Linked DNA regions of Styela clava. The main gene of each other region encodes a partner of the protein of the gene in region 3 in a complex. Links are inferred from orthologs where the notes say so. Each region holds a gene or a part of one and is shown on either strand. Other genes may lie near its edges.

Region 1 (2,923 bases), on a different chromosome or scaffold from region 3:
ACACCATTTTGTAGGATAGTTGTAACAACAATTCAGGACGAATTTCTTGATACACTGACTAATATTACTATTAATAGACAATCAAATAGTGTCCCAGTCAAATATGGAGTTGTTGATTATGGACAAATATCATTTTTTTCCATTGATGAAGGTGGTGTTCCCACTATAATTAATGATCCGTGATAGTGTTTTAATCTCTCATGCTCTAAAATCAGACATGATTTTCAAGATTGGCAATAAATATTATTTTCATAAATAAATGAGTCTGATATTTGATAGAAGTTGCAAGGTGATGATGAACATTATCCCGTGTTTCTCTTCGACAACTAACTGCTTGGAAATATTTCTTCAAATTTGTTGAGGCTGTACTGAAATTATTCATGTTTCATGAAATTTTCTGCATTGTATATCAACAAAACAAAATATATTTTACAATACAGTGTATGTGCTTTAGTTCCAATGCTGAATAGGATTAGTTAACCTTACATTTTCGCATGTTCCGTTAAGTCAAATATCATATCAGGCAAATCATTGTTCCAAGTGTCATCGAGCTACAGTTTTCATTGTGTATTATTAGAGACGTTTCAAAATCTGATTATATCTGACAAATCAGAAAATTTGCCATGGTTCATTTCAAAGGAATATATTTGAGTCAACGTCCACTTGCTAATGAAGTGTGTTTTTATGATATGTAGTTTATATATTTCAAAACTGTTTTGAGGAGCATCAGTAATCGCAGGCCCTTTCCATCAATAATGTAACTTTTATTGGTATAAGAATGCTAATGAAAAATATCATAATTGATATAGATAAGTCGCTCACCAGCTGAAACATTTCCTACAATATACAGTAAGTCATATTTATTAATATACAATTTTAACAGATATATATTTACTACAACAGTATAAACATTGAAAACATGAAATCCACATTTGCAACCTTGCTCAAAATTATATAAATCCTCCGCTCTTATTATCAATTTATAATGGATAATTTGAAGATTAAACATTATTGCGAAAAGTGCCATCATGAATATATCTATTAATGGTCAAACCGAACCATTTTCTACTATTCAAAATAGAAATTCAAAAATATTTCAAAATGAATTGGGGGATGTAATATCGCAGAAATATGAATGTTGATTTTCTACATTATTCTCAGATATGTTAAAGAAATCATTCAATAGAATACCACTAATTCAACATCTTCTTTCAATACCACCTTACACTTCTCACAGTATGAGTATTGGTTCAGAAACAATAATATGTCACAAAAATATCTTGAAAACGCTACATATGACTAACTTTCAATGCCAAATTTGTCAAAATTTCTCAGTATTACATTCAATTGTGCATGAACCTTTCCCATAGCAGTTGTATGCAATTTATACCTGTCTGCACCACTGTATATTAATTCTGGATTTTTCAATTGTGGGCATCCGCCAACAAAGTATTGCATCAATTCTTCTTTAAATGTTCCATTGGGTTTCCATGTCATGCACTCAACTTCATGTGGTCCTGGAGACGACGGAATGTGAACAAATCCATAAGCGTATAGTTCGTTTCTCCCAAATGCATCATGGTGCCAAATCTGCACATGTAGACGTGGCCAGCCCTGAAGTCCTTTAGTTGCGTAATGCAAGTCTATTGGATGACAAAATGCAGCGAACTCTTCATTTTGTGGATTGTCTACTTGAGTTTGTCCATCTTTTGAACCTGCTATCAACTTCCAGGCACCTCCTGCGTGAATTCCCCATTTGCAGAAAAGTCTATGATCTGGAAATTCACTCGCCCCAGTTAACTGACCAATAATATGGACTTCAGCCATGGTTTGTTTATAAATGGTTCAACATATTTATGATAAATCTTAAAGGCAAAGTAAAAAAACAAATTAATATAATAGTATGGAACAATTGACGGACTTCCCGAAGTATGCTCACCAAGATGGCGCACAACCTGAACTCGGGTTGGTAACCAGGTTCAGGTTATGCGACATCTTGGTGCACATACTTCAGGAGTACCCAATTGACAAACCAAGTATAGCCTAGCTATATCAAAGTCGTTCGATACTGGAACAATAAAAATGGGAATTCGATATGGAGTTTTTGCACAGTATTAACTTAATGTTAAAACATTGTTTGCTATCGAACATGACCAAATCGTTAAACATCTATGAATAACTGGATAGAGAGGTTCTGGTATGACACAACATGACAGATGAAATACATTGCTAGATAATGGTATTAATTCTTTTAATGGTATTTATTATTCAAAAAATATTTCACTTATTCAGTCTATAGTAAACTGAAGCCGGTCAATACACTACTAGGGTGCGGTACCTGGACTGAACATACATTCAATTTCCCATTGGCAGCTATGACAATTATTCTTTATTAATGCGCATGTTTATTTACATGTATTGTACCTTTATAAAAGTTTTGCAAGTTTCCCAAATTTTCGCAATCTTCTGTGTGTTCATTCTTGTGTTTTGTGTATGATTTTTTTTCGGGAAAATCAAAACATACTTATATAGGAACAAAAATAAATAACTATGTAGCGGTACCTACAGCATTAGCATACAAACATTCATTTCAGTACTTCAACCGTTATTCATTGATCACATTTATATCCAGCCATACAGGTAATTCTCAATGTAATAAAACAAGATTATATATATGAAACACCGGAATTTAGAATAAATATTTTAATAAAACAAGATTATATATATGAAACACCGGAATTTAGAATAAATATTTTAACTAAAGAAACCGTATCCAGAATCGCAGAACAACAAATAAACCGCGTATCCTGGAGCATTGATGCATTAATTTTAAATCAAGCGGTACCACTTAAACCCTTTGGTTACAAAGGTTGAAGTTTATTTTTTAATATATTTTTGGAATTTTGCTTTATTTGTTTTTGTT
Region 2 (3,764 bases), on a different chromosome or scaffold from region 3:
TCATGTATAACAACTCTATAATTAGTTTATCTGCAAAAAACTCGTCGTCATGGATTGAATATTGTGCGACAGAAAAGGCCATTTATACACTAAAAAAGTCGGCTCGTTTAACAAACGCTTAATTGCGGCGAATTTTCGATTTTAAAATTCTGTTGTGTTTGGTTTTATTATTTCTTCACACAGAGTAAGTGCGGTTGCAATAAACGCACGTTGGGTCCGCAAAGGTTTTCGCCGGTGAAAAAATAGTCCGCGACCAAAAAAGGTTGGGAAACGCTCGAAATTAGAACTAATGTCAACGGTGAAACAACATTTGACTCGCTTTCGTTTTCTAGCAATTAGTCTTTTTTCTTTCGAAATTTGGGAGTGACTAAAAATAACCCTATGATAACTTTTTCTGCACAAGCCTTAGTTTAGACCCGATCGGTTCTCCAGTCCCGCACAAAACCAATTACGAACGTTTATTTACGTTATACGCAAATACTCTTATACAAAACGCGACCACGATAGATAGACAATGTGGAAGAATTTTCAGAACTCAGCAGTAATAAAATATATTTATATAAAAATAGGGTCCTTTAGCGAAACACCAAGTAAAAATAATTTCAAACTTTTTGATTCATATATGAAGCAGTTAAAATAGAAAGTTTGTTTAAAACGTGCTAACATTTAATATTTACAAAACTAATGCCAAGAATGAAATTCACAATTTTAAAAAAGTTTTAAGGCAAAACTGTGATATGTGACTGAGCCCTGGATCACTATTTGATCATGATTTAGGACTTTCAATTCAACAGATTCTTTGTGACCAGCATGGAGTGGAAGCATTTGATCAGACGCTGAAAAAAAACTTTGCCATTGACTATAAGTTTTTCTTCAATGCTAAAACACCGATGATAACAATAGTCTCAGTAATTGCTGGAAGGGCACTGTAAAAAAAAAAATTGACAGAGCAATGGAAATGGATTTTGTCACTGAATAAAATTATAATAAAACTCAGTGGCTACCATAAGCTTGTTTCTCTCAATTTTGGTAAATTCAGGAGAATTAAAAAGACGGAAAAAAACAATCATATTTTCAAACAAATATTGTTATAAGAGACTTAAACGTAGAGATTCTCTCACAACAATGTTGTTGGGCATTTTGTTACAATGATGCTACTTATAATAACTGGAATTTTTTACATTTCATATACATTCAAAACCTCCAACAGGTCTTTTTAAACTTACAAACTGTATTCAACAGAACTTAGAATTAGTCACATATCAAGAAGTCTCGAAAATCAAGAAAAACAAGAAGATCGACAGTGAAATGACTTAGGGCCTTGGAGTATACAAGAGTGGAAAATATATTGGTCATATGATGCACCATTATTTTAAAATATTCTGTGGCTTGGTCTGATGAAAAGTATATGAGAATAAAAGTTTTGTTGATAATTACTAACCTACAGAATGCAAAAATCCACCAATATAAAGAGCAGCTCCAAGAATCAAAAACGAAAAAGGCGAGAGTGACACTGGCCCCTGCATGAGCCGCAATAGCTGAATAGTTCAGTATAAGGAAGTTGAGGTAAACAATGTGAAATCTCAATTACTAAATACAAATTTTGCTGAATCCCACTTGAGTTCAACCTGCCTTCATAAAAAAATTTGTTAACGTCTTATTCCCCAATAATCTTACATTGAAGATATAAATTAAACACTATTTCCATTTATTGCAATTCAAAATCTTTTTTTATAGAATTAAATAAACTATTTGTTAAAAAGGATACAAAATAGAGACTGCGTGTGACTGAACATTGAAACTCCACCAATAAACCCTCCAAATTCAACCAAAAAGAATGCTAGTGTTATTGAAAGGCCAATAATAAGTTCAGTGTCTCTGGATGAATATTCTGCAGCAGTGTAGTTAATTGGAAGACATGCTTTCACATTCAGATCCTGTAGTAATATTGAACACTTCATGATTTACTCAAAACTAGAATAGAATATAACCAAAGGCACGCACTATTAATTAAATAGGTCAAAAAACTAATACACATTTAATTTGAGGTTTTCTGATAAAAGAAATATTTAAATCAACAATTACGGTAGTAATTTCTGGTGTTTAAAGCTATACATGTAAACATGATGGTCCCAAAAAACTGTGCTAAGAGTTCTGGTGCATGGTGCTCTGAAATACACTTTAGTTGCTACGTTTGTCATAAAATAGCAATTGTATTTTATATACAATATGATAATGAAAAAATACTCACCCTTGACCAGAATATTGATATGACAATCACCAGATGTGCTATGAGAACCAAGAATCTAGTTGGTACCAAACCACTTACAGCTCTCATAATTTTAATATGCGGCGGATTGAATCAATTTACAGGTGACGGTAGATAGGCTTACCCCTGTGAAAACAGAAAATATTCCATAATAAATCTGTGGTACAGCAAAGACAGTTATAGGTGTATATATTGGGAACATATTTATCCTTGGGGAGAGCAAAACGTTTGCCTAATCATGTTGAAAACTACTGCCTCTTGTCCAATTATCAGTTCATCAAGTATAGGAATACATAACTAGAGTGTTTCTTTCAGTTCATGAACTTGATGGTGGCAGGGTAGAGGAAGCCATAACCAAACAGATGATACAAACTTACTGAACCACACTACGATAGCAAGGGATGAGCCTTGTCATAACCGGACAAGGTATTTACACAAGTATTCTAATGAATGAGGTGAGCCAACCCAATTACCTAACTTATTTGCAATACTGTCTGAATATGGTACTAGAATACCGGCACCAAAATCATGAAAATAGTCTACTAAATATGGGATACCAGTAATGGAAAGTAACTATACCAGTAACTATATTTCCATCAATAGTCTTCTATTACTGTGTTATATACAGTAGGCCTATATAAGTTTATTTTGAATTCCCCGATGGGCAACACACATTCTAGCATTTGCTGGATGAGTCTGACAGTTGTACTGGCACCATAATATTGCAGTAAGACGGGAGATAGGCTACAAAATGAGATTAAATCTGTGAATAGTCAATGTATCGTAACTGTAGTACGGTAAGTTTTAGTTATGCACCATAGGCTAACCGGTACCGATAACTCTTGAGATCTAGGACAGTGATACAGTTCGATACCGGTAATAGCATTCTGACGTCTTTGCTTATGCCCCGGTTAAACTTAAATCGCGCATAGACTAGGTACCGTACCGGTATATCTGTACGGTATCGGTATAGTCTAGTCTAGCTCATTTGAAACGTAGGCTATCAGATGATAGTGTTAACTCTCATGAGCACGATCAACCGCTCGATTTAATGCGTAACCAACCCCGTCGCTGCATATGATCGTAAATATATACTACTACGATATGATCGCTAAACTTCTGATGAGAGATGTCTGTACCACTGTACTACTTTATCGGATCACCGAAGAGCGCCGGTATTGAAATTACCGTCAATATATATATAAATTTCATTGAGTGGGTATCTATTAAATATTTACCTGTGAAACGGTGTTTGCAGAGAACAATATTCGAATCGGCGGTGTGGCGCATCGTGCTATACGTTAAGAATACGCTTGCCATCGCACATATGATTAACCTGATTGCTTTAGTCAATATTCATATAAAACTTGATCCTCGTAAAAAAAATCATGTTTATTTCAATTGCTAAAAAAATTATTTTTAAACAAACTTCGAAAAAAAATTAATAAACCCTGAAGGGGATTTAGGATTTTGGTACCGGTACTCGTTGAAATAA
Region 3 (3,764 bases):
ATGACTTTTTTTTAAAGTCTTAGAAGGTCTCTCTAAAAACGTGTCTCAGGAGCTATTCCTGGCCGAGACTCGAGTTTTACAATGACATAAATAATTCGGATAAGTGAGTTTAAGGTAATATATGGCTCGTTCTGTACATTATATTAGAGTACAATTAATACAGGAGAAGTTCGCTATTTATTTTGGCCAACGATTCGCTATTCTCATTGATTTTTTCAACAAAAATTTATAATCGTAAAATTTCAGCAGGCACAACTGGGCCAGATGAAACACTTCGGTGGGCCAAATCAGGCCCACGGGCCGTAATTTACCCACTTCTGTGTTAAAAAATTGATTCAAATAACATTTAGAAAAAATGAGATAAAAATATAGACAGAAATGAACTTATTCACATAGCCTTAAAATTTATCTCACATAACTTTAGTTGGCTTGGAATTTAATTAGATAGCATATTTCTACCACAATTCCTGAATAAAGAAAAATACAAACCGTTATTTGATCGAGTAAATCTGTTATTTGATTGTTTTTCTCAGTGAGTTTGTCTTTCATTTCTGAATCAATATGACCTTTGACACCCAAACGTTCACGATGTTGCTTCTCCATAATATCACGGAAGTCGCGAAGATCACTTTTCAATTCTTGATTCTAAAAAGCATGAAATATTTTAGCCGAAAAATATGGCATTATGATGTAAAATTAACGTTTTCATTTTAAAAACGTACCTCCAGTTTTAGATCTTTAACTTGTTGTTTCATTTCGTTGTTCTCTCGCTCAAAAGTATATCTATCTCTCGACATTTCTTCAAGTTCAATTCTAAGTTCCCTTTCTTGTTCTTTGTATCCTTCTACCAATTCAGCAAGATTCCTATTTTCCGCACGAATGTATTCCGTGTCGCCGCGGAGGCCACCAGCACCTCCCGATCCAAATCTCTGCAAAAACCAAGAAACGTCAATGTCTGTCATAAATGTAATTTTCGAATTTAAGAATTACCATATGTCTATACTAGTCATAAAATTATAAGTATGGAAAAAAATGTTATCAAACTTTTGGAGGAAGCACAAGCGCAGGTTGAAGTTCCAGTTCTCAAATGAATATACATTTATTGATCATTTCAAATTCCAGTTGAAAAATCAATAATATTACTTATCTCTGCATTGCTCCAAAAAAATCTAGTTTTACTCATACACCAAGTCATGATACTGTTTCAAAATAAAGATCTCCTAGTTCCAAAACCTACATATAGCATTATATATGTTACCCTCTGATGAGATATAAAGCTATTTTGAAATCATCAGCTATTCAACCATTCAATAATAACTGAGCAATTTATTTTAAAACATAAAATGACATTCTAAACTAAATGTTCTCGATAGAAAAATTTAGCAAAGATCTGGTCAGTGGTTCATGAATATTTGATTCTTTACTAATACTTCACATAAAAGTTCTAAGATAAATATTCTTTTATACTGGAATTAAATGAGAAAAAAGAGTAATCTCATAATTAATGTGAAATAAATAAAAACTTAATGTTATGTATCATCAGTTTAAATACATTCTATAGTTTTGAATAGAAACCAACTTAATCTGGTTCAAAAATGAAAGAATGCTATTTGTTAGTAGAGCATGAGACGGATACCAAAGTATTTTGAAAACTAGAAGAGACTTCGTGGAAAGTGAACAATATTAACTACAGAATTGAAGTAGTATAGAGCACAATTAGACTGAATATATAACAGATATATAGAAAATCGGAAATGGAGCAGATAGCGTATCAACTTAGAAAAAGGTTATCACAGTAATAATAATAGATTGGTATTTTGAAAGTGAGATGTTTTGGAAATGAACACTATATTATTTATTGTAAACATTGACACAATTGACAATTGAAAATGTCTTACAGTAAAAAGACTCTTTTTTATATTTTGCATTTGTTGTTCTTGTTGTATCAATCTCAAAATAGTGCCAATTCAAATTTATGTGATTAAGCATTAAAATATTAACAAAGAAAATAATATTGCTACATTCATAATGAGCAAATTGCTAAACCATATAAATTTTTAAGTCTCATTCCCAATTATTCGACAAAATCTTACTCGTTCATCCTCTAGCCTTCTTTTTAATTCTTCAATCTGTGAATCTTTATCATTAACAGATTTTACTTGTTCATCGAGTAAAGCTTCATATTCTTGCTCTCGATGCTGTAGATGGTATGACATTTTAAAGTTTTAAGTTAGCTGGATTTGTCGCAGTGAGTTACAGAAGAGAAAAATCATGATATGATGGAAATAACACTTTGGTGAATAACTTTTCCATAAATACCAGAAAAAGACTTTTATTATAGGCAGTTCAAGTTTACATATGATAAAAATCACTGGCATAGAACTGGGAACTCATTAATCATTATGAGGAAAAAAAAATTCGGGTTTGATTTTACAGATTTTTTTTTTCAATGATAGAAGTTTTCCATTCAAACAAAAACACTTTTTAACTTTAAATTGATGTATGAAATAGGTTTTATACCTTGAAAAACTGTATTTGAAACTTTATAGGTCACCCTTATACCCACAAAACTACATGAGGCTTTCATTATAATTTAGTACTTACATCAAGAATATTCAAAGCAGATTTGAAAAGCATGATCAACTTGTCTGGTTCATTTTTAAAATCTGCATCTTTAACTGTACGAAGATCTTCAACCACCCTGTCAATTGTCTCGTCATCCACTGTAGAACTACCTTGAGCCACTGTGCCAACAGTGGCCCAATCAATATTGGGAGCCATAATAAAAATGGCAAAATGTCTTTGTAGTCAATTTCTATAAGATCATTTCGAACCCTGAAAATAATGGGGAAAAACAAATGATATGTAACTTCAAAAGTATGTAATTGAGTAAAATAGAAGTAAAAGCTACTAGTATGTGTGTTCTTAGGAGGTTGGAAGAACCTGTTGCAACTAACGGAATTATGTGTTGACTTATACCAGTACACAGTTCAGGATTTACTGAGTTTCTACAAAATCTAAGTACATTGGGTCTATTATAGTACCATAAGTACTTCTAGTGCACGTAGCAGAGGCAATTCTGCAATTGATAGCTCTTTCTTTGCGTATATAAAAAGTTTGACACAAGTGGCAATAATAGGATAATCGTAGTTCCTATTATCGCCACATCAACATTTCTGCTATATTTTTGAGATATCGCTATAGCAAATTCTTTTTGGGGATCACTGCTGTTGGCTTTTTTTCTCGATCGGTAGCCAATGTTCCGAGAAAATATAAAAGAAATGTTACGTAAAGTATTATAGATTTTAGATGGATCGGAATAAAAAGCGGAGATAATAGGGTAACTTACGTTACCGGTAAGGTACTACTAAAGTTACCTAAGCAAATTACATTTTGTTTATGCACATTCAGACATTGGTTCAGTAGGATAGGATAGGATTTTACATATTTATCCCGGGGGAGAGGAAAGCCGATAAGACGGCTTATCCATATGGCGAACCACGGCCTCTCGTCCGGTTACCATTCCAAGTCGGGTATGGGATTAGTTTTACTGTATTGTTTGTTTTCGGAAGCATGGACTTGGTGGTGGAGGAAGCCGTAACCGACCAGCGGTTACGTGAACCACCCAACGATGGCGAGGAGTCCAGCAATCCTCTCGCACATAACCATCTCTGCATGGGATTCGAACCTGCGAACCCATGCAGAGTAATTAGAGGTGCGGTGGCGAGCGTATTCCTAACGCTTAGCCCGTTGAGCCACACCGC

The links.
Region 1: centrosomal protein of 290 kDa-like (region 3) and B9 domain-containing protein 2-like share a complex: the UniProt entries of both Homo sapiens proteins name them as parts of the tectonic-like complex. The link is inferred for Styela clava from reciprocal best matches to the Homo sapiens genes CEP290 and B9D2.
Region 2: centrosomal protein of 290 kDa-like (region 3) and transmembrane protein 107-like share a complex: the UniProt entries of both Homo sapiens proteins name them as parts of the tectonic-like complex. The link is inferred for Styela clava from reciprocal best matches to the Homo sapiens genes CEP290 and TMEM107.

Annotation. Positions count from the first base shown.
Region 1 is NC_135258.1:12,602,755-12,605,677, forward strand, and holds B9 domain-containing protein 2-like, read right to left. Parts: upstream 1,870-2,923; 5' UTR 1,828-1,869; coding exon 1,300-1,827; 3' UTR 597-1,299; downstream 1-596. Other genes in the region: tRNA-splicing endonuclease subunit Sen54-like, read left to right, coding at 1-183. UniProt on the Homo sapiens protein: Component of the tectonic-like complex, a complex localized at the transition zone of primary cilia and acting as a barrier that prevents diffusion of transmembrane proteins between the cilia and plasma membranes.
Region 2 is NC_135256.1:19,257,488-19,261,251, forward strand, and holds transmembrane protein 107-like, read right to left. Parts: upstream 2,396-3,764; 5' UTR 2,339-2,395; coding exon 2,252-2,338; intron 1,938-2,251; coding exon 1,769-1,937; intron 1,539-1,768; coding exon 1,442-1,538; intron 927-1,441; coding exon 860-926; 3' UTR 536-859; downstream 1-535. UniProt on the Homo sapiens protein: Plays a role in cilia formation and embryonic patterning. Requires for normal Sonic hedgehog (Shh) signaling in the neural tube and acts in combination with GLI2 and GLI3 to pattern ventral and intermediate neuronal cell types.
Region 3 is NC_135257.1:13,835,659-13,839,422, forward strand, and holds the start of centrosomal protein of 290 kDa-like, read right to left. Parts: upstream 2,836-3,764; 5' UTR 2,782-2,835; coding exon 2,605-2,781; intron 2,199-2,604; coding exon 2,094-2,198; intron 930-2,093; coding exon 723-929; intron 646-722; coding exon 490-645; intron 1-489. UniProt on the Homo sapiens protein: Involved in early and late steps in cilia formation. Its association with CCP110 is required for inhibition of primary cilia formation by CCP110.